Macaca mulatta: one gene and its partners. The main gene of each other region encodes a partner of the protein of the gene in region 3 in a complex. Links are inferred from orthologs where the notes say so. Each region holds a gene or a part of one and is shown on either strand. Other genes may lie near its edges.

Region 1 (7,186 bases), on a different chromosome or scaffold from region 3:
ATGAGGCAGGTAGCCCCAGGAAGCTGGAAAAAGAAAGCAGAGAGGCCCTGGACAGAGTCCCAGAGACCTGCCAGTCCAGAGCTGGGCTGAGGGCAGGCTTTGAGGAAGGACTCAAAGGTTGCTGGAGAGGTTGGCAGAGAGTGTCTGGGGCCTGGAGCAGGAGGGGGCACATAGGTCCTTGCAGTGAGCACTGAGGCTTTGCATTGGAATCATTCCCAGAGTGACTTGGGACATTATTCAGAGGTCCCCAGAGCTGCTGGGAAGGGACAGCAGGCCCATGCTCCAGGGCACCCAGGGACAAAGGGAAGACCCCAGGCTGTGATAATATTAACAGCAACAGCCAGCGCTTACCGAGCACCTTCCCCGCTCCTGGTGCCGCACCCAGCACCCACACTCCCTTTCCAAGGTGAGGGACACCCAGACTTAGAAAATCAGAGTCACAGCCAGGCACAGTGGCACACGCCTGTAATCTCAGCACTTTAGGAGGCCGAGGCAGGAGACTTGCTTGAGCCCAGGAGTTCAAGGCCACCCTGGGCAACACAGGGAGACCTTGTCTCTACAAAAACACAAACAAAACAAGATTAGCCTGGCGTAGTGCATGCGCCTGTGGTCCCAGCTACTTGGGAGGCTGAGGTAGGAGGATCCCTTGAACTTGGGAGGTTGAGGCTGCAGTGAGCTGTGACTGCGCCAGTGCACCCCAGCCTGGGTGACAGAGCGAGACACTGTCTCAAAAAAAAGAAAGAAAGAAAGAAAGAAAAGAAAAGCGAAGCCACTCCCATGAGGTTGTGCTCCTGGGGACTGGCATGGCCAGGACTCCAACCCAGGCAGCCTGTCCCAGAGCCCTCGAGCTAGCCCCAGTGCAGTCTCTCCACCACCCCACACTTCCTCAGGCCACCTTCCTGCCACAGCCTTTTCCCCAAACCTGGTATCACCCCCTCCCCTCCCTCCCTAATCCCACCTCTCGGGCCTGGCCACCCCACCTCACCCCTTCCAGGACTCAGATTCAGACTCTGAGGGAGGAGCCGCTGGTGGAGAAGCAGACAGTGAGTATCTTCCTCGAAGGATGGGGAGCAGGGTTCTGGGGGGCGGGGGGATTTCAGGGCAGGGGTGTGGGTGATACCTCCTCAACTCCATCAGGAGTGACATTCAAAGTATGTAACAGTGGGTCGGGTACCAGTGCCAGAGCAGGCTCCTGGAGGCTCCTGGCTGGGCCAGGCCTCGTGCCTTTAGATGTGGGGAGGCCGGGGACCCCAGGGCTGGGGCCAGGGTGCTGGAGACATCCATGCCCCCTGGCTGAATGCCCGGTCCTGCCGCTGTGTCTCTTCTCTCTGGCCAGTGGACTTCCTGCGGAACTTATTCTCCCAGACGCTCAGCCTGGGCAGCCAGAAGGAGCGTCTGCTGGACGAACTGACCTTGGAAGGGGTGGCCCGGTACATGCAGAGCGAACGCTGTGAGTCCCCTGTCAGGATTGGGCCACTGTGCCCAGCTCCTGGCCTCAAGTGACCTCCCATCCCCAGCCACTTGAACCATGTATTGAAACCTTTTCTTTACAAGTAGCAAGAAACACAACTGGAACCGGCTTAAGCCAAAGAGGAGTGTGTTGGCTCTAATCCAGCTTGAAGCACGGCTGGGCCTAGGTGCTTCCACTTTGTTAAAAATCGTAACTCTCTCTGATGCTGCTTTTCTTGTGTCGGGGTAAAGGTAACTCCTGGCAGTTCCAAATGCAGGTTCCACCAACCTAGGAGCTGCCACCGAGAGAGCACCTTTTCCCAGTAGTTCAAACCAAACAGCAGAGATTCGCTCCCACTGAGCCAGGTTGAGTCACGTGCCTGCCCCCAAGTCTCCGATTGGCCAGACCTGGGTCGCTTCTCCATTGCTGAGTGAATTACTGTACGCTGACTGACCAGGCCTGTTTCATAAAATGGGGATAATGATTATGGTATCTAACTCATAAGGTTATTGGGGGACTAAATAAATTAATATAGGACCAGGTGCAGTGGCTCATGTATGTAATCTCAGCACTTTGGGAGGCCATCGCGGGAGAATCACTCAACACCAGGCATTCAAGACCAGCTTGGGCAACATAGTGAGACCCCCCCATCTCTACAAGAAAAAAAATAGCCAGATGTGGGGGCGTTGCCTGTAGTCTTAGCTACTCAGGAGGCTGAGAAGGGAGGATTGTTTGAGCCCAGGAGTTGGAGGCTGCAGTGAGCTATGATGGCACCACTGCACTGCAGCCTGGGCAACACAGTGAGACCCTGACTCTAAAAAATAAATAAATAAATAAAATTTTAAAAATAAATTAATAAAAATGCAAATGCTTAGAGCAGAGTCTGGAACATAGCGAGAGCTGTGGCAGCGTGTGCCGTGGTTATTACTACAGGAGGCTTGTTTCAGATATGGTGGATAGGTGTCTACTTACTGAGTCACCATGAAATTTATATTTCTTTTTTTTTTTTTTTTTTTTTTTTTTTTTTTTTTTTTTTGAGATGGAGTCTTGCTTTGTTGCCCAGGCTGGAGTGCAGTGGAGTGGCACAATCTCAGCTCACTGCAACCTCCGCCTCCTGGGTTCCAGCAATTCTCCTGCCTCAACCTCCCAAGTAGCTGGGATTACAGAAGCACACCACCACGCCTGGCTAATTTTTTTATTTCAGTAGAGACGGGGTTTCACCATGTTGCCCAGGCTGGTCTCAAACTCCTGAGCTCAGGCAATCCACCCTCCTCAGCCTCCCAAAGTGCTAGGATTACACGCGTGAACCACCCCGCCTGGCCTGAAATTTATATTTCTTGCCATGAGTTGAGGTCACCGAAGTCTGAGAAACCAGGCCCTCAGCAGTCCTCAACTAGAACAATCGACCCTTTGTGGTTCCTGAGCAGCCTTTTGTTGAGGACGTCTTCTCCAGTGTCCCTGTCCTCCAGCTGCCACCATCTCTCTCCTCGGGCAGCCAGGCCTGCTGCCCTGAGCCTCCCTCTCCTGCGGCAGGCAAGCAGCTGTCTGCAGCCATCTTTTAGCATGGGCAGGCCCCAAAGACAACACAGGCAGTGGCTACAAAGCATTTGTTCCTTGTGTCCTCCTGCTCCTGGATTCTGGGGTAATTGGCTCATGAGGGTGCCCATGAGGAGATAGTAATGAACAATAACAATTAATTGAGGCTGGGCGTGGTGGTTCAGGCCTATAATCCCAGCATTTGGGGAGGTAGAAAGCAGGAAGATCGCTTGAGGCCAGGAGGTCAAGACCAGCTGGGGCAACAAGCAAGACCCCTTCTCTGCAAAAATATAAAGGTGAGGCTCCAACCCTCACCTAACCGCTCTAAAGCTTTATTTATTTATGTATTTATTTTTTTGAGACGGAGTCTCACTCTGTTGCCCAGGCTGGAATGCAGTGGCGCTATCTTGACCCACTGCAACCTTCGCCTCCCAGGTTCAAGCAATTCTCCTGCTTTAGTCTCCCAAGTAGCTGGGACTACAGGCGCCTGCCACCACGCCCAGCTAATTTTTGTACTTTTAGTAGAGGCAGGGTTTCAGCATATTGGCCAGGCTGGTCTTGAACTTCTGACCTCAGGTGATCTGACCCCCTTCGGCCTCCCAAAGTGCTGGGATTACAGGTGTGAGCCACCAGGCCCAGCCCTAAAAATTTCTTTTTAACTACTTAATTGAGCCTTCACTATTTGCCAGGCACTGGGCTCAGCACTTTACAAGTGTCCTATTATTTGATCTTCACATTATACCCATAAGACCATTATGGAAGTGATCTGGACACAGGAGGAAACGGAGGCACAAAAAGGTAGTGACTCAGTGCAGGGTCAAACAGCTGCCAAGTGGCAGAGGCAGGATTTGACCCCAGGTCCCCTGAATCCAGACCATATATAGCCACCACTGGATTCAACCAGGCCTGGCCCGATGGCATCTCAGAGTTAAAGCTCAGGGCTGAAGCTGTGGCAGGCTTTGTGCTCTGTTCACCTTTGCTGTACTCCCTTGGACAGGGTATCCCAGAGGCATCTGACCCACAGCATGTCACACTTGTGCCTGTCTATCAGCTGATGGGCAGATGCCAGAGTACTATGGCCTGGTGGCTAATCACCAGCCACCAGCTATTTCTGTTTAGCCCTGGGCTCTTATCCTCAAGTGGCCTTTTCTCAAGTCTAAGTTGGTATAATTTCCAACAGTGGATTCTTTTTTTTCCCCCCTTTTTTTGAGATGGAGTCTTGCTCTGTCACCCAGGCTGGAGTGCAATGGCATGATCTTGGCTCACTGCAACCTCCACCTCCTGGGTTCAAGTGATTCTCCTGCCTCAGCCTCCCAAGTAGCTGGGATTACAGGCACGTGCCACCACTCCCAGCTAATTTTGTATTTTCAGTAGAGACGGGTTTTCGCCATGTTGGCCAGGCTGCTCTCAAACTCCTGACCTCAGGTGACCCGCCTACCTCAGCCTCCCAAAGTTCTGGGATTACAGGCATGAACCACCGCACCCAGCCAAACACTGGATTCTTTATCCTCTGGCTGGCTCTTCCGCAGTCCATTGTGTGACTTCTTCCCCTATCTGAGCCCCAGTTTGCTCGTTTATAGAATGGGGATGTTAACACCATCCCTCTCTAGATGATTGGAAGGCCCATCATGCATCTGAGATGCTTGCCCCAGGGCCTGGCATGGAGTAAACGGTGTCAGGGGCCGTGATGGGTGGTGCTATTATAGGGACTGAGCAAACAGTGTCATATGGTGCATAAGTTCCTCTCCTCCAGGTCGCAGAGTCATCTGTTTGGTGGGTGCTGGAATCTCCACATGTAAGTAACCCTACTCCCCAGCAACCACCCCCAGGAATTGGGGAGTCCCTCCCAAGGGCTGGGGAGGAGCCCTGTCTGAGGCCTGTCCTGGGAGAGTTAGTAGGGTATAGACCAACTGCTCCCTGACCCCCCTCTCCCAGCTGCGGGCATTCCCGACTTTCGCTCTCCATCCACTGGCCTCTATGACAACCTAGAGAAGTACCATCTTCCCTACCCAGAGGCCATCTTCGAGATCAGCTATTTCAAGGTTTGTGTTCCCCCAGGAAGGGGCGTCTGTGAGGGGTGGGATGGGGGTCACCTGGCTCCAACCCTCGTCCTACCTGGGGCATCTGGCCCTCTGGCTGTCTCTCCTACAGAAACATCCGGAACCCTTCTTCGCCCTCGCCAAGGAGCTCTATCCTGGGCAGTTCAAGGTGAGATCTTTTTTTTGCAGGGGGCAAAACAGGAAAGGTTGGGGGAGGGCACGCATGGGAAGCGCCCCCAGGGCCCTGCAGACAAATATTATGTAGCCATTAAGTACATGGGTGCTGGGCCCAGACTGCCTGCATTCGTGTCCTGGTTCCTCATGTCTTCATCTTACGACCTTGAGCCTCCGATTTGCCTCCTGTGAAGCGAAGCTGATGGTACTGTCTGAAGAGGGCTGCTGCGAGGCTTAGCTGCACCCATGATGCGGTGGAGAGCCCGGGACCCTGCAGCCAGGCTGCCTGGGTGCGAATCGCAGCTTTGCAGCTTACCCACCATGTGACTTTGGCGACACAGTCCCCTTCCCTGTCCTTCAGTTTCCTCATCTGTGATCTGGGGATAGTGGTGGTCTCTCCCCAACACGGCTGCTTTGCTTATTCCCTGGGGGTAAGACAGTCGCAGTGCCTAGAACAGTTCCTGGCGCATGGTAGTGGCCTGTGGCTGTTCCCTGCAATGATCAGCAGTGCTGTCGTTCTTCCCTGCAGCCGACCATCTGTCACTACTTTATGCGCCTGCTGAAGGACAAGGGGCTGCTCCTGCGCTGCTACACGCAGGTAGGCGGATGCGAGCATCCTGGGAAGAGGATGGGCGGGTGGAACAGGCATGGTGTCCTCAGCGGAGGAGCAGAGCTGCGTGCCCAAGAGCTCAGGCAGGGACTCCAGCAATGCAGGGCCAGGGCTTGGCCTACTGCGTCCTTGCTGCATGACCTGCAGTGAGTCAGGTCTTCTCTGCCTCAGTTTCCCCTTCTGTCAAACACGGTTTGCCCTCTCAGGTCTGCAGTGAAGTGGCAGTGACCTCCTCTCAGGGCCATCCCGTGTGTGATGTGAAAGGAGCCCATGGCTGAAGGGACTCTGTGTGCACTATAGGCACCCCAGATTTCACACTGGTTATGAGGGTGTTTCCAAAGTGACTTCATCTAAGAAAATCCATACACTATGACAGGCGTCCAACAAGTAGATGTCTGCCTTAAGGAAGGGACACCTTTTTATACTTTTTTTGTGCTTTGCCCAATTATAAACATGGCTCGGACATGTCAGGTGCTTAGCCGAGGGCCTCTCCCTGGGGCATTCAAGCAAGGATGGCTCACATTGTTGGAGAGTCTCACAAACCCTAACAGTAAAAAAATCTTGATGGGCTGGGCACAGTGGCTCACACCTGTAATCCCAGCACTTTGGGAGGCCAAAGCGAGAGATCACTTGAGCCTAGGAGTTCGGGACCAGCCTGGGCAACATAGGGAGACCCTGTCTCTACAAGAAATACCAAAATTAGCTGGGCAGGGTAGTGTGTGTTTGTAGTGCCATCTACTCAGGAGGCTAAGGTGGAGGGACTGCTTGAGTTCAGGAAGTCAAGACTACAGTGAGCCGCGATGGTGCCACTGTACTGTAGCCAGGGAGACCTGGTTTGAAAGAAACAAAAAACAAATCAAAACAACAACAAAATGTTGCTGCCTCTACCTGTTTTATGAATATGTATAGAAATTACATGATGCACTACAACAGTATTCATTCAAGCTCTAGATCACACCTCAGAACCCTGAATTACAAAACAGGTGGCTGGACACAGTGGCTCACACCTGTAATCCCAGCACTTTGGGACGCTGAGGTGGGCAGATCACGAGGTCAGGAGTTCGAGACCAGCCTGTCCAACATCATGAAATCTCGTCTCTATTAAAAATACAAAAATTAGCCGGGCGTGGTGGCGCCTGTAACCCCAGCTACTCGGGAGGCTGAAGCAGGAGAATCGCTTGAACCCGGGAGGCGGAGGTTGTAGTGAGTCGAGATTGTGCCACTGCATTCCAGCCTGGGTGACAGAGCGAGACTCCATCTCAAAAAAAAACCAGAGGGGTAACATTGAACATAAATAAGTGTTCTAGTGTTTCTCCCTGCACCTGGCAGTTCGGCACCTGCAGCCCCGAAAGCTACCACCAGAGGGAGGAACAACTC
Region 2 (7,186 bases), on a different chromosome or scaffold from region 3:
AGACTTTATTCATGTAATCACCAGTTGCCCCAAAACTATTGAAATTAAAAAAAAAATTTGTGAATATTAAAAAAAAAAGCCTATGGAGAAAAATTATAATCTAAGTTACGACCATTACCACCCTTTCACCATTTCTGAAAGCTTAGCTGATTCTGTATGAACTTCTACAACATCACTACTCAGTAGAATTTGGTATTACATAAACCAATTATTACTAGGCCCCTCTCCCATAACTCAATTCTGCCTATGGACTCACCTGGAGTGCAGTGGAACAGTTGATTAAACTGCTTATAGGATTTTCTCAGATGTTCATATATGTAATTCATGCATTCAAAACTCTGAACAAGTAATACCTTCCTATGTACAAGTATATAACTATCTATATTTGTATTTTTGGATTGACAGGCAAATGAATAAAAGAACATCTTTTAAATTTATTTACCCGTATCTGCGACATTCCTCATAGTATGTTTGAAGGCCCAAATGATGGAATCCAAAACAAGTTTAAACTGTGTAGGTGGAATAGCAAGGAATGCTGGGAAACAATGAGAATTGACAGCCTGAAGTAGTAAGAAAAAGTTCGTTCTGTGTTCAGGATATTCTTCAAAGTCCTAAAAATAAGTGGTGGAAACAAAATAATGTTTCAGTGTCTTCGCTGTGCTAGCAGGAGGGGAAAAGCAAGGCTTAATCCAGTAAAAATGTTTGGAGTTTTCAATAAACCATAGAAGATATAATGCCTCCTGAAAGATAAACCCAAACAAAATACAATCCACCTCCCATGGAAAATGAAACTGTTCCCTGTTACGCACATGAGTTATCAAATTGAAAGAGAAAGCTATCCTTATTAATAGAGAACTCATCAAAACCATTATTACCGTAACACTACTACTATCACTTTTGTTTTTAATTTGAAACCACCACTACAGATTACGAAAAAATTTAAGTTACCATGTGAATGTGTCCACTTACCATTTCTTTTATCTCTCGCTTTTTTTTTTTTTTTGGAGACAGAGTCTTGCTCTGTCGCCCAGGCTGGAGTGCAGTGGTGCAATTTCAGCTCACCGCAACTTCCGCCTCCTGGGTTCAAGCGATTCTCTTGCCTCAGCCTCCCGAGTAGCTAATTTTTGTTTTTTAGTAGAGACGGGGTTTCACCATGTTGATCAGGGCGGTCTTGAACTCCTGATCTCAGGCAATCCACCGGCCTCGGCCTCCCAACTGTTGGGATTACAGGCATGGGCCACCGCGCCTGGCCATTTTTGTATTTTTTTTTTTTTTTTTTGAGACAGAGTCTCGCTCTGTCACCCAGGCTGGAGTGCAGTGGCGCGATCTCGGCTCACTGCAAGCTCTGCCTCCCGGGTTCACGCCATTCTCCTGCCTCAGCCTCCCGGGTAGCTGGGACTACAGGCGCTCGCCACTTCGCCCGGCTAGTTTTTTGTATTTTTTTTAGTAGAGACGCGGTTTCACTGTGTTAGCCAGGATGGTCTCGATCTCCTGACCTCGTGATTCGCCCGTCTCGGCCTCCCAAAGTGCTGGGATTACAGGCTTGAGCCACCGCGCCCGGCCTTGTATTTTTAATGCCATGTTGGCCAGACTGGTCTTGAACTTCTGACCTCACGTCATCTGCCTGCCTTGGCCTTCTGAAGTGCTGGGATGACAGGTGTGAGCCACCATTCCCAGCCTATTTTCTCTTGTTGATTAATACATTTTTCGGTTTCTTATAAGCATATACTACACTTTTATAATTGAATCATGCAGACTTTCTCATGTATTCAAACTAACTACGTTCATAAAAGGATGCCCCGACCTGCTATGAGGTTTCAATAAATGCTACATACCATGTGAATGTTAAAATCTATTTTCCACATTTACTTTTTACCAATCAAGATTCTGTGTAGTAAATTCTTCTTTTTTAAGAAATGGTCTGACTCTGTTGCCCATGTTAGAGTGCAGTAGCATGATCTCAGCAAACTGCCACGTTGAACTCCCAGGCTCAAGTAATCCTCCCACTTCAGTGTCACTGTCGCTCAGCCACTTCAGTAGCTGGGACTACAGGCACATGCCACCATGACTGGTTAATTTTTTAACTTTTTGTAGAGATGAAGTCTCACTATATTGCCCAGGTTGGTTTCAAACTCCTGGGAAGTTCTTGAAAACAAAAAAAGTATTTCCCTAATATACAAGTATAAATATTTAAGCTCCATGGCATTAAAATTATGTTATATCCATAGATATACTTTAGCCTTCAAGAATTAAGGCTATCCGCTAGAATTTTCCCCGTACATAACTGAAATATTACACACCTTATTTATCATATTCAATGTGCATTCAAAAACAGCATCAAATATTTGAGGTATTTCAGCTGTTATATGTCCCCCTAACTTGTTGACAATTATGGCCATAGTACTAAGCACTTCTGGTTCTCTAGCAGCTGGGACATTTCTCTGATAATCAATGAGAACTGCATCCAACAGAGGGGGAACAAAATTTTCAGCTACCTGTTGAGGAGGGAAAAAAAAAGTTATGTTTTAATCTAGGTACGTGGTGACTATTTTAAACAACAAGGTTATTCGTGTCTGTAAGACGTAGCATGATTATCTACTGAAAATAGGAAAATCTTGTGTTTGTATTAGGTTTTCCTACGTTAAAACAGTTTTTAGCAAAAGAAAGCAGGAAATCACAATGGGTTGGGAAGTCTCATGGAAACAGTGTCATTCAAAACTTTTTTTTTTTTTTTGAGACAGTCTCACTGTCAACTCAGACCAGAGTGCAGTGGCAAATCTCTGCTCACTGCAACCTCCACCTCCCAGGTTTAAGCAATTCTTGTGCCTCAGTCTCCTGAGTAGCTGGGACTACAGGTATAGCATCATGCCCAGCTACAAAACTCTTATAATAAGGAAAGTGAGGCTCAAAATTCAATTGGTGGCTCCAAGTTAGTGTGGCACAATCAGGATTCAATGTATACTGTATATGTAAGACGGCAGCAAGCGAGCCCTCAATAATGTCTTTTTTTTTTTTTTTTTTTTAAGAGGGAGTCTCGCTCTGTCGCCCAGGCTGGAGTGCAGTGGTGCCATCTCAGCTCACTGCAAGCTCCACCTCCCAGGTTCATGCCATTTTCCTACCTCAGCCTATCGAGTAGCTGGGACTACAGGCACCTGCCACCATGCCCAGCTAATTTTTTTGTATTTTTAGTGGAGACAAGGTGTTTCACGAGGTTAGCCAGAGTGGTCTCCATCTCCTGACCTCATGATCTGCCCAACTCAGAATAATGTTTTAATCTAATGAATGCTAACTGTATTTTCACAAGCAGAAATAACATCAATCAATTACTCTCAGAAAATAAGAAAGACTATGGATTTCTATTATTTTTTTGAAACTGAATATTGCCGTGTTGCCTAAACTGGACTTGAAGAGCTGGGGCGATTCTCTTGCCTCAGCCTCCCTAGTGGTTGGGATTACAGGTGCATGCTACGATGCCCAGTAGGATTTTCATGGTTCTAAGTAAACTCAGTTATACTTAATGAGTAACTTCTTGTTCTTTTTTTTTTTTTTTTTTTGAGATGAAGTTTCGCACTTGTTGCCCAGACTGGAGTGCAATGGTGCGATCTAGGCTCACTGCCACCACCTTCCTGGGTTCAAGCGATTCTCCTGCCTCAGCCTCCTGACCTCAAGGGATCCACCGACCTCGGCCTCCCAAAATGCTGGGATTACAGGCATGAGTCACCGTGACAAGCCAAGACAAGAAAAATAAATGTAATGTTTCATGTGAACAAATATCCCAAACTTTATCATTAATGTTACTTATAAAATATGATACCCCTTTGTATTATTCCCACTGTGCTCCTGACATGTGCCCAAGCTTCTTGTAAACTACAAGCATCACAATTCCTTCAATACATCTTACATTCTGCTTTCACATTTTAAATACAGTTCTGATCACATAATACACATGTTCAGAACCTTTCGATATTTAGGTTAGCCAACTTAAGTATTCCATGAGAATTATATTCAGAACAAGTTTACTGAAAAGTATTTCCTTAACAAGAAACAATACTGAAATTCCAAAATTATTAAAATAACTAGCACACTTGTTAAAGAAAAACAAAAAAAACCCACTATTCCAACTAGTAGTAGTATCAGAATAGAATTTTTTGGAATCTCCCAAGGCTCAAGTGAATAAAAAGAATGAAACCATACAGTTAACACCTAAAAGTAATTCACAATTTTACAAGTTGAGGCATACGCAGCTGGTTTTTATTACTGAAAATGATTTCCTTTTCTGCAAATCATTTAAGAAAAAGAGTGTAAAAAAGACTTTCAAGCCTTTAATCTGGGAAGCAATCACTTTGCCAAAGAGGTAAAGTAATGACAACTTTGTAGCTCTAGTAATTGTTCCAAAAATCAAGAGGAATGCAAAAACTGCACCCGTACTCCATTAACTAAATCCTCCTGACCTATCTATGGAAACATAAAATGACCCAATTTTCTTAGCTATCTTGTTACATATCACCACCCTTCGCTATTGATTAACAGCAGTTTCTTTTGAAGATGGAATACAGTATATTAACATTAAGGACTACAATAAATAAAATGCCATAAAATAACTACAAAGTTGATATGCTTTAAATTAGCAAAATGCACATAATAGAGTATAGCACACTCCATAAAACACAGCATCAACACTAAAAACCAAAAGCAAAGCATCTCTCACTTACCATTTGTGGATCATTCGATCGGCTCACCCAACCAGATATTAACTTTAAAGTTTCCCTTTTTACAGTTCGCATACTTCTAATCAATGGTTGCTTTGTAACCATTTCACCTACAAAATTGAATCAAATGGAATCTAATTTTACCACTAAAATTATACAGCGGTACTCAGGTGTACATTAGATGCAATTCCATTTTACCATTAAAAAGTTTAAAGCCAAAACTACACAAGATTTATTGGGAAAATAAGCTTTAAGACTAATTTTAAAAGGGAAAGGTACACATAACTATTTTAAATATGTGTAGGGTCATCTGGGAAATGGGAGGTCTAATTTAAATCTGTGAAAAATATCAAATGTTTGACTTGAGGCAGTAGAAGAGAAGTGTTTATACTGCATCGTATAAGAAATCAGAATCACCTACCATTAGCTTGGATAGCTGCAGAAATATTTTCACTGAGGCACTTGTATACATTAAGCATATCTAAATAAATTCTTCCAAGCTGAATTACAAAGGGGTGTCCAACAGCTTTGCAGGCTCTCACATTTGTCTTCAAAATGCTACCAAGCTGCTTGACTGTTTCAGGATCTTTCAGTATATCCACATTCTTGGAGAAAAAAAAGCAAATTCCATTTATCATGTAAGAATTATCCACATAATGGCCAGGTGAGGTGGCTCACACCTATAATCCCAGCACTTTGGGAGGCTGAGTCAGGCACATCACCCTGAGGTCGGGAGTTCAAGACCAGCCTGACCAACATGTAGAAACCCTCTCTCTACTAAAAATACAAAATCAGCCAGGCATGGTGGCGCTTGTTTGTAATCCCAGCTACTTGGAAGGCTGAGGCAGGAGAATTCCTTGAGCCTGGGAGGCAGAGGCTGCAGCGAGCTGAGATCATGCCATTGCACTACAGCCTGGGCACCAAGAGTGAAACTCCGTCTCAAAAAAAAAAAAAAAATTATCCACATAATTACTGAAACAAAAGCCATTACACTTCCCTTACCCTAAATCATATTTATAATCCCAAATGGTAAAAACGAACACAAAAGCCTTTTTGTCCATATCTACCTAAGAATGAAGTAAAATATTTTTTGAGACGGAGTCTCGTTTATTCGCCCAGGCTGGAGTGCAGTGGCGTGATCTTGGCTCACTGCAAGCTCTGCCTCCTGGGTTCACGCCATTCTGTCTCAGCCTCCTGAGCACAGCTGGGACTTACAGGTGCCCGGTGCCACGCCCAGCTAATTTTTGTACTTTTAGTAGAGACGGAGTTTCACTGTGTTAGCCAGGATGGTCTGGAGCTCCTGACCTTGTGATCTGCCTGACTCGGCCTCCCAAAGTGCTGGGATTACAGGCGTGAGCCACCGCGCCCGGCCCAGATTTTCAGGTTTTTTTTTGAGATGGAGTCTTGCTCTGTCGACTAGGCTAGAGTACAGAGGCTCGATCTCGGCTCACTGCAACCTCTGCCTCTTGGGTTCAAGTGATTCTCCTGCCTCAGCCTCCTGAGTAGCTGGGATTACAGGCATGTGCCACCAAGCCCAGCTAATTTCTGTATTTTTAGTAGAGATGGGGTTTTGCCATGCTGGCTAGGCTGATCTCGAACTTCTGGCCTCAGGTGATCCGCCCGCCTCAGCCTCCCAAAGTGCTAGGATTACAGGCGTGAGCCACCACGCCTGGCCCAGATAATAAAATGTACAAAGCCACACATAAAAGCACTTACGGATCACACATACATGTTTAAAGGCTTGAATTCAATATATTTGTAAGGAACACAGTCTTCTTAAATCCCATGAAAACTTTAAGAAAAAGTAGAATACTTACTTTGGTTGCCTGCTGGATTATACTATCCCACACTTGATTAGGGAGTAACATGTACTTTTCTATCAAGTGTTCTTGTACTGTTTGATCTGTTTGTGCACCAATCATGTACCCCACAGCTTCATAAAACGTATGAACCTATTTTAAAAAGCAGACATTTTAACTTTTATGTTCTTATACACCCTAATAAGGAAAACCACACACAAGCAATTCACACACAAGCAACTCAAATATCTTGAAACTGATTTTGGCCCAGGTGCGGTGGGGATCACTCCTGTAATCCCAGTACTTTGAGAAGCTGAGGCAGGCCAATCACTTGAGTTCAGGAGTTGCAGACCAGCCTGACCAACGTGGTGAAACACCATCTCTTCTACAAATACAAAGAAATTAGCCAGGCATGGTGGCAAGTGCCTATAATTCCAGTTACTTGGGAGGCTTGAATTGCTTGAACCTGGGAGGCAGAGGTTGCAGTGAGCCGAGATTATACCACAGCACTCCAACCTGGGTGACAGAGGTAGACTCCATCTCAAAACAAAACAAACAAACAAACAAACAAAACCCAAACCAGGCATGGTGGTGGCTCATGCCTGTAATCCCAATACTTTGGGAGGCCGAGGCGGGCGGATCACAAGGTCAGGAGTTTGAGACCAGCCTGACCAACAT
Region 3 (7,286 bases):
AATATCTATTTCATATATACAAACCACATTATTTTTTATTCTGACAGGTCACAAATTTTGAGCAAGTTCTTCCCTAGGTGACCCTACCTAGCCAAAATGAAGGTGGAGCAAACATTGCTTTAGCTTAACTGCACTAATATTTACACCATGTGACCCTTCTAACCAAATAGAATACTGCTGATCTGCCATAATCAGTTTGTGTGACATGGCTCAAATGTACAAAAATAAAAAGTAGACATAGGGAGAAATTAACCCAATAGATTTCAAATTAAGCGATAATAGCAAGGCAATTCAAATATTAACATGGCATAAAATTTCCCTATTTTAGCGATTTCCAAATGCTATTTATAAACAAGGGATGAGTTCACTTGCTTAGATATTTGAAATACAACTTTATTCTGATTCTAAACGAAAAGGAATGGGAATGACAGTAACAAAACAAGATTTCACCACTGAATATTGTGATGTGACTGTAGCAGTCTTATATTTGAAACTCAAGGAATCAACCGCGTTCCAAAACAACTAAATATGCAGGTCCAAACAATGAAGGTATTTTTTAAACTGCCACATTCACTCCGAAGCCCACTCATCTCCTTCAGCATCCCACAGATGAAGCACATGTTCCGCTTAGCTAGATAATAATGAGGTGGCACACACGCTGCACCGCTGACATCACAGGACAGCTGCCTATAAAACTAGACTTCTGACGCTGGGCTCCAGCTCCATTCTCACAGGTCATCATCCTCATCCGGGAGAGCAGTTGTCTGAGCAACCTAGACGAAGAGATGAAAAAATGTTAACACTCCAGATCAAAACTGCCAGGAATATACAAGTCAAACGTTATAGCCTAGACAGCAAAGTGGCCGTAATACCTCTAAGTCGTGCTCATACTGCGCTGCCAAAGCTGGGTCCATGACAACTTCCGGTGGGGCAAGAGCAGGCATGGCAACAAATTCCAAGTTAGGGTCTCCAATGAGCTTCCTAGCGAGCCAGAGGAAGGGCTTTTCAAAGTTGTAGTTACTTTTGGCAGAAATGTCGTAGTACTGTTTAAAAGAAAATAATTTTACCTTTTAAAATTCATTAAGATGACGATTTTTCTAGGACATGGCAAGACAAGAAAATGTTAAGATTCTTGGCAAGGCATGGTGGCTCATGCCTGTAATCCCAGCACTTTGCGGGGGGGCTGAGGTGGGAGGACTGCCTGAGGCCAATAGTACAAGATCAGGCCTGGGCAACAGAGCAAGACCCCATCTCTACAAAAAAACAAATTAGGTGGGCATGGTCTTGAATGCCTGTGGTCCCAGCTACTCAGAAGGCTGAAGTGGGAGGACTGCTTGAGCCCAGGAGTTCAAGGCTGCAGTGAGCTATGTTCATGACACTGCACTCCCGCCAGGGCAACAGGGGAAGACCCTGTCTCAAAAAACAAAGAATATATAAATACACACACGTATCTCAGTTGACCAACCCAGACAACAGTGAAACCCCATCTCTATCATTCTTTAAAAACAATAGTATAAAAAAAGACAAAATTATTTCCTGCCAGCACAGTGGCTCATGCCTGTAATCCCAGCACTTCAGGAGGCCAAGGCAAGTGGATCACTTAAGGTCAGCAGTCGGAGATCAGCCTGACCAACATGGTGAAACCCCGTCTCTACTAAAAAAAAAAAAAAAAAAAAAAAAAAGTACAAAAATTAGCCAGGCGTGGTGGTACATGCCTTTAATCCAGCTACTAGGGGAGCTGAGACAGGAGAACTGCTTGAACCCGGGAGGCGGAGGTCGCAGCGAGCCCAGATTGCGTCACTGCACTCCAGCCTGGGGGACAGAGCGGGACTCCATCTTGGGAGAAAAAAAATCATTTCCATATATAATAGACACTGGTCAATTTCATGGTCTTACATACAATCTCCGCTAAGAGAAATAACTCAGGAAGTTTTAATTTTACACACCTGAAGATTCTTCTTTCGGTGGAAGACAATGGATTTCGCCTTCACTTTCCTGTCCTTAATGTCCACTTTGTTACCACACAACACAATGGGGATGTTTTCACACACTCGCACCAGATCTCTATGCCAGTTAGGCACGTTCTTGTAAGTAACTCTCGATGTTACGTCAAACATGATGATGGCACACTGGGCTGAAAGAAACAGTTGCGGTAATTAGTACACTGTTTACCACACAAGTGAAGAATGCTAAGAACCGCAGACTAGGATTCAACTATAGTCTTAGACCTCAACAAGGCACCTAGATCTCTCCCCTCACTTTCAAAGTCTCTTTCAATTCTAAGAACATTAACACAGAACTCTTCCTAAGAAAGATGAGCTGATTCTATCAAATCTCCCTGATAAACTTCACCATTAATACTCCCCTCATCCCCAAAACACTATCTGAAGTAATTAATGCCAAGTGAGATTCTGGAGAACCAAGCTGCCATATTCTGAGGGTAGGGCCTGGAAATAGTCTTCAGAAAGTCTTTAAATGGCCGACTATACTAGGAAATATCATTCCTGTCTTAAAAACTCCAGATAGGCCAAGCGATGTGGCTCATGCCTGTAATCCCAGCACTTTGAGAGGCTGAGGTGGGTGGATCACCTGAGCTCATGAGTTCCAGACCAGCATGGGCAACATGGTGAATCCCCATCCCTACCAAAAAAAAATACAAAAATTAGTCAGGCAAAGTGGCAGGTGCCTGTAGTCCCAGCTACTCAGGAGGCTGAGGCTTAGGAGGCGGAAGCTGCACTCCAGGTTGGGCAACAAAACAAGACCCTGTCTCAAAAAAAAAAAAATTAAATAACCCAGATAAAGTCTATATACTCACCTGCAGGAATAACTATGGTACAGTTAGTAAGGCAAGAAACCACAACTTTTTGGTTAAAGGATTTTTTGGGGGGGAAATTCTTGTGTTTATATGTACACGTTCAAGAAGAGCAAAAGGCATGGAATGATTCCAGATAATGTGTTATTAGCAACGTGAGGTTCCAGGAGAGATGAGTATTTTGTTTATTCCTCTCTTTTTGGTACAATGAACATTTTCCTTGAGATTTTTAAATCAAACTATTTGAGAAAAATACTCTGCACAACTTACTACAAACAATTTAACAAGAAATCGGCTAGTCTTGTATAACACTTGTTAAGACCTCCTATCTCCTCTGGTCTAGTATCTGGTGTTGCTTTGTAATGGACTAGAAATATTCATTGATCGCCACACCAAACTACACACAAGAACCAAAGTTTTCAAATACTGAAACTGCTGTTAACAGCCTGTTATTGTTTTAAACATGACTTATAAGTTCCAGTGTAAGTCATAGGTTTTTCTAAACCATGCCTAGCATGACACAGCATGCAACTTTCATAAAATTTTCTCCTCTGCCACCAAAATGGTGGTCAACTCCCTGAAGTCCACGTCTTTTTTTAACCCAGAAATGACACAATTCCCATTACAGTATTAAGCACTATTTGTTGGAACAGACCTGATTTTCTATAACCTTGAAAACTGAAGTACACAAAACCTCTCAAAAACTGTTCAGCAAGTTACAAATGCCTACCTTGGATATAATAGCCATCTCTCAGTCCGCCGAATTTCTCCTGGCCGGCTGTGTCCCATACATTGAATTTAATAGGTCCTCTGTTGGTGTGGAACACTAGGGGATGAACCTCAACACCCAAGGTGGCTAAAACGGAAACGACATGATTGAGTGGATGAATTTACCCATTTCTCACGTATTTCCACAAGCAAGGTTTTCCTGCACATACCTACATACTTCTTCTCAAATTCACCAGTCAAATGACGCTTCACGAAGGTCGTTTTTCCAGTACCACCATCACCAACCAATACAAGCTGTTGGAGAACACATTTGGAAGTAAACCCAAAACACTTCACCTCTCAAGATCCCAGAGTCATGGAACTTTAACCATCACAGGCTCACTTAAAACAAAGAATATGGATGCGGGGCCCCGTTACAGCCATCGTGGGTCCGGGAGGAGGGACCCGCGAGTCGCACGCGGTCGGACTCGGCCGCCTCCCGCCCCGCAGGGTTACCTACTTTGAACTGGACCTGGGGCTCTCCCTGCGCAGCCATCGCGGCGTTCCTGCGGAGGCAGAGGACGGAGGCGAGCGCTCGCGCGGCCCCGCAGCCCATGGCGGCCCCGCTCCCGCGCCCCCAGCGCCCCACGTGCCCGCCCCACAAAGGCCTCCCGCCCGCGGCGCCATGGCGGCCGGGCCTCGGAGCGGGAAGGCGGCGGGCGGGGCCGGCATCCGGGGCGGCGGGGCGCGGGGAACGGCGGACGGAGGAGTCGGGATAGGGACGGGACTGAGACCGGGACGGGAATGAGAGCGGAGGATGAAACGGGGGTTCGCGGGGGCGGGCGCCGACCCCATGCCCGTCTCCTGCCCCGGCACGGCCGGGCCCGCGCCACCCACCTACTCACAGCCGCCCGCTGTCCCTGGGCCCGCCACCTGCCCCGGCCCTGACCCCGGCTCCGGCCCCTATCCCGCCGCCGCCGCCCCTGTCCCCGCCCGGCCCTGCCCCCGCCCGGCCCGCCGCGTCTCACTACCTTCCAGAAGCGTCTCCGCGCCCGTCCGACTGAGGCTGGAAAGATGGCGGAAGCGCAATTCAAACGCCGGAGACGCAGCCGACGCCGGCGCGCGGGCAGGGGCGGGGCCGACGGGGGCGGGGTTGACAAGGGGCGGGGCAACGGCACGGCGCCCGCCCACGTGGCCCGCGCGTGCGCGCGCGCACGCACGCAACCTGGTTCAGTCGGCCGCTGCGGCCGGCGCTGCGCTTAGGGTGGGGCGGGAGGCGCGATGGACCGCGTGGGAGGGCGAGCCGGGAGCGCGCACGCATGCCGGCCCGTGGGGGCCACGTGCGCCGGCGCCCAGGGCGGGCTCGGGGGCGCGCATGCGCTGACAGGGAGGCGGCGCGCCCCTGGGCGGGAGTCGTTGGGCGCGGCCGGACTGTCGCGGCCGTGCTACCTCTTGGGTGGGAGGCGGTACTCGCTTGGGCAGACGCGGTCAGGCACGCGGCTTCCAGGCGCTGGCCAGCCAGTCCTTGTCTGTGCCCCGTGGGGTTGGGGTACTTGGGGTCCTGGGGCTTAGGATGGCGCTCGCGTGCGCGCAGGACGGGTGAGTGACAGAACGGATGAATGAATGAAGGGATCCTAGGCTGGGCCTCCAGAGTCAGCCCGCGGCTCTGTCTCTCCAGATCGCAGCCTTCACGCCCCCAGGACCAGGGCCAGTTGGAGAGCGAGGAACCAGAGAGGGATGCCCCCACCCCGGAAAATGGCTACTTATTTTTTTTTAAGAGACAGAGTCTCGGCCGGGTGCGGTGGCTCACGCCTGTAATCCCAGCACTTTGGGAGGCCGAGACGGGCGGATCACGAGGTCAGGAGATCAAGACCATCTTGGCTAACACGGTGAAACCCCGTCTCTACTAAAAAATACAAAAAACTAGCCGGGCGAGGTGGCGGGCGCCGGTAGTCCCAGCTACTCGGGAGGCTGAGGCAGGAGAATGGCGTAAACCCGGGAGGCGGAGCTTGCAGTGAGCAGAGATCCGGCCACTGCACTCCAGCCTGGGCGACAGAGCCAGACTCAGTCTCAAAAAAAAAAAAAGAGACAGAGTCTCGCTATTTTGCCCAGGCTGGTCTCGAACTCCCAGGCTCGAACGATCCTCCCGCCTCAGCCTCCCAATTAGCTGGGACTACAGGCGCGCACCACATCCGGGGTAATTTTTTTTCTTTTTTTTTTTTTTTTAATTTTTAGGGACAGGATCTTACTATGTCTCCCAGGTTGGCTTCAGGGGATCCACCCGCCTCGGCCTCCCAAAGCGCCCAGCTTCTCAAAGCGTTTCATAGGTTGGCAGCCTTGGCCGCTGCGTCCTACAAACAAAATGATAAAATTTTGTTTGCAGTCTGGGCGCGTCTTCCAGCCCCAGTTACGAACGCGGACGGAATAAGTGCTCAGCTTCCCAGCCCCGTGTTGGCCTGAAGCTGTAAGACTCCAAACAAGGTTGAGCTAGAGCGACCCCGACTTCCTGGGCGCCCCTGCCGACATGCAGACGGAAAAAGGCTCAAATCAGCGCAGTCAAGCGCCTTAGAAGAGTCCAGCATGGTGAAAGAGTCCCGGTAACCGAGGAGTCCTCCCTGCAGTCCTGGGCACACTTGAGTCCGCTGGGAACCCCAGTGACGCAAATTGGTCACAACGCGGGGGAGAACCGGCCTGCTGGGAACGCAAGTCCGAGCTCCCCCAGAACCCTCAGGGGAACGCCAAGCACCTCTCGCGGGAGAGCAGAATCTAACAGTAAAACGGGAATGCCCATTGCTTGTGACCGTGGATTTCCATTTCTAGGGAGAGGCTCGAGAGTTAAACTCACGCCTCACACATGTGCACAACATTTAATGCTGTATAACATTTAAAAGGATTGACGGTCGTCTGTTTCCACAGGTTTAGATAGACGTCAAAAGGATAATGTTGAGAAAAGCAGAAAGAGGTGATAATAGCTTTATAAAGTCTAGGCCACCTGTAATCCCAGCACTTTGGGAGCCCGAGGTAGGAGGATTCCTTAAACCCAGGAGTTCCCAGCCTAGGAGACAGAGTAAGACCCTGTTTCCAAAATTATTACATAAAGCCTAACACTATATGTAACTTTATCTAGAGGGATTATATATATAGTATAATGTCATTTGTGTACGTTTTTTACAAAAACATAAAAGCATATTGGCTATTGGATATATGTATTTTTTTTAATTGCAAGGATATACATACCATATCCTGATGGTTACTGCTTCAAGAAAGGGTAGAAAGGAGTGTGATGGAACTGAGAAGAGGAGTCAAAGAAGACTTTAACTTTACTTGCAATATTCTATTTCTTTTGTTTTTTATTTTTCTTTCTTTCTTTTTTTTTTTTTTGAGACAGAGCCTCACTGTCGCTCAGGCTGGAGTGCAGTGGTGTGATCTCGGCTCACTGCAACTTCCGCCTCCCAGGTTCAAGCGATTCTCCTGCCTCAGCTAGTTGAGTAGCTGGGATTACAGGCATGCGCCACCACAGCCGGCTAATTTTTTTTATTTTTATTTTTTTATTTTTAGTAGAGATGGGGTTTCATTATATTGGAATAGGTAATCGAGTGGTCACTTTGGTAGCACGTATACCAAAATTGGAATGATACAGAGAAGATTAGCATGCCACCTGCGCAAGGATGACAATTTTTTCTTTTACTTTTTTTCTTTCTTTTTTTTTTTTTTTTGAGACAGTCTCACTCTTGTTGCCCAGGCTGGAGTGCAGTGCCGTGATCTC

The links.
Region 1: the proteins of RAN (region 3) and SIRT2 are in contact, whole or in part, in a crystal structure (PDB 5FYQ), measured with the Homo sapiens proteins. The link is inferred for Macaca mulatta from reciprocal best matches to the Homo sapiens genes RAN and SIRT2. Residues at the interface, in NP_006316.1 of Homo sapiens: Phe35, Glu36, Lys37, Lys38, Tyr39, Val40; in NP_036369.2 of Homo sapiens: Phe96, Arg97, Glu116, Phe119, Gln167, Ile169, His187, Ile232, Val233, Phe234, Phe235, Gly236, Glu237, Ser238, Leu239, Phe244, Gln265, Val266, Gln267, Pro268.
Region 2: the proteins of RAN (region 3) and XPO1 are in contact, whole or in part, in a crystal structure (PDB 7B51), measured with the Homo sapiens proteins. The link is inferred for Macaca mulatta from reciprocal best matches to the Homo sapiens genes RAN and XPO1. Residues at the interface, in NP_006316.1 of Homo sapiens: Lys12, Lys37, Lys38, Tyr39, Val40, Ala41, Leu43, Gly44, Val45, Val47, Trp64, Glu70, Lys71, Gly74, Leu75, Arg76, Asp77, Gly78, Tyr79, Ile81, Gln82, Val96, Pro102, Asn103, Arg106, Arg110, Val111, Glu113, Val124, Asp125; in NP_003391.1 of Homo sapiens: Leu35, Tyr36, His37, Gln43, Arg44, Gln47, Leu50, Thr51, Lys54, Glu55, Asn74, Tyr77, Tyr78, Gln81, Lys124, Val125, Lys129, Met132, Leu173, Glu176, Glu177, Phe181, Gln185, Lys266, Thr269, Glu270, Asp313, Gln316, Asn317, Gln320.

Annotation. Positions count from the first base shown.
Region 1 is NC_133424.1:49,983,381-49,990,566, reverse strand, and holds part of SIRT2 (NAD-dependent protein deacetylase sirtuin-2), read left to right. Parts: intron 1-994; coding exon 995-1,043; exon of another isoform or gene 1,044-1,046; coding exon of another isoform or gene 1,047-1,047; intron 1,048-1,336; coding exon 1,337-1,450; intron 1,451-3,675; exon of another isoform or gene 3,676-3,741; coding exon of another isoform or gene 3,742-3,784; intron 3,785-4,739; coding exon 4,740-4,781; intron 4,782-4,921; coding exon 4,922-5,028; intron 5,029-5,137; coding exon 5,138-5,194; intron 5,195-5,728; coding exon 5,729-5,797; intron 5,798-7,186. UniProt on the Homo sapiens protein: NAD-dependent protein deacetylase, which deacetylates internal lysines on histone and alpha-tubulin as well as many other proteins such as key transcription factors.
Region 2 is NC_133418.1:63,243,833-63,251,018, reverse strand, and holds part of XPO1 (exportin-1), read right to left. Parts: intron 6,662-7,186; coding exon 6,527-6,661; intron 5,315-6,526; coding exon 5,131-5,314; intron 4,820-5,130; coding exon 4,713-4,819; intron 2,496-4,712; coding exon 2,301-2,495; intron 612-2,300; coding exon 443-611; intron 1-442. UniProt on the Homo sapiens protein: Mediates the nuclear export of cellular proteins (cargos) bearing a leucine-rich nuclear export signal (NES) and of RNAs.
Region 3 is NC_133416.1:138,251,830-138,259,115, reverse strand, and holds RAN (GTP-binding nuclear protein Ran), read right to left. Parts: upstream 4,584-7,286; 5' UTR 4,552-4,583; intron 4,087-4,551; 5' UTR 4,077-4,086; coding exon 4,041-4,076; intron 3,836-4,040; coding exon 3,751-3,835; intron 3,669-3,750; coding exon 3,543-3,668; intron 2,135-3,542; coding exon 1,947-2,134; intron 1,044-1,946; coding exon 873-1,043; intron 774-872; coding exon 729-773; 3' UTR 368-728; downstream 1-367. UniProt on the Homo sapiens protein: GTPase involved in nucleocytoplasmic transport, participating both to the import and the export from the nucleus of proteins and RNAs. Switches between a cytoplasmic GDP- and a nuclear GTP-bound state by nucleotide exchange and GTP hydrolysis.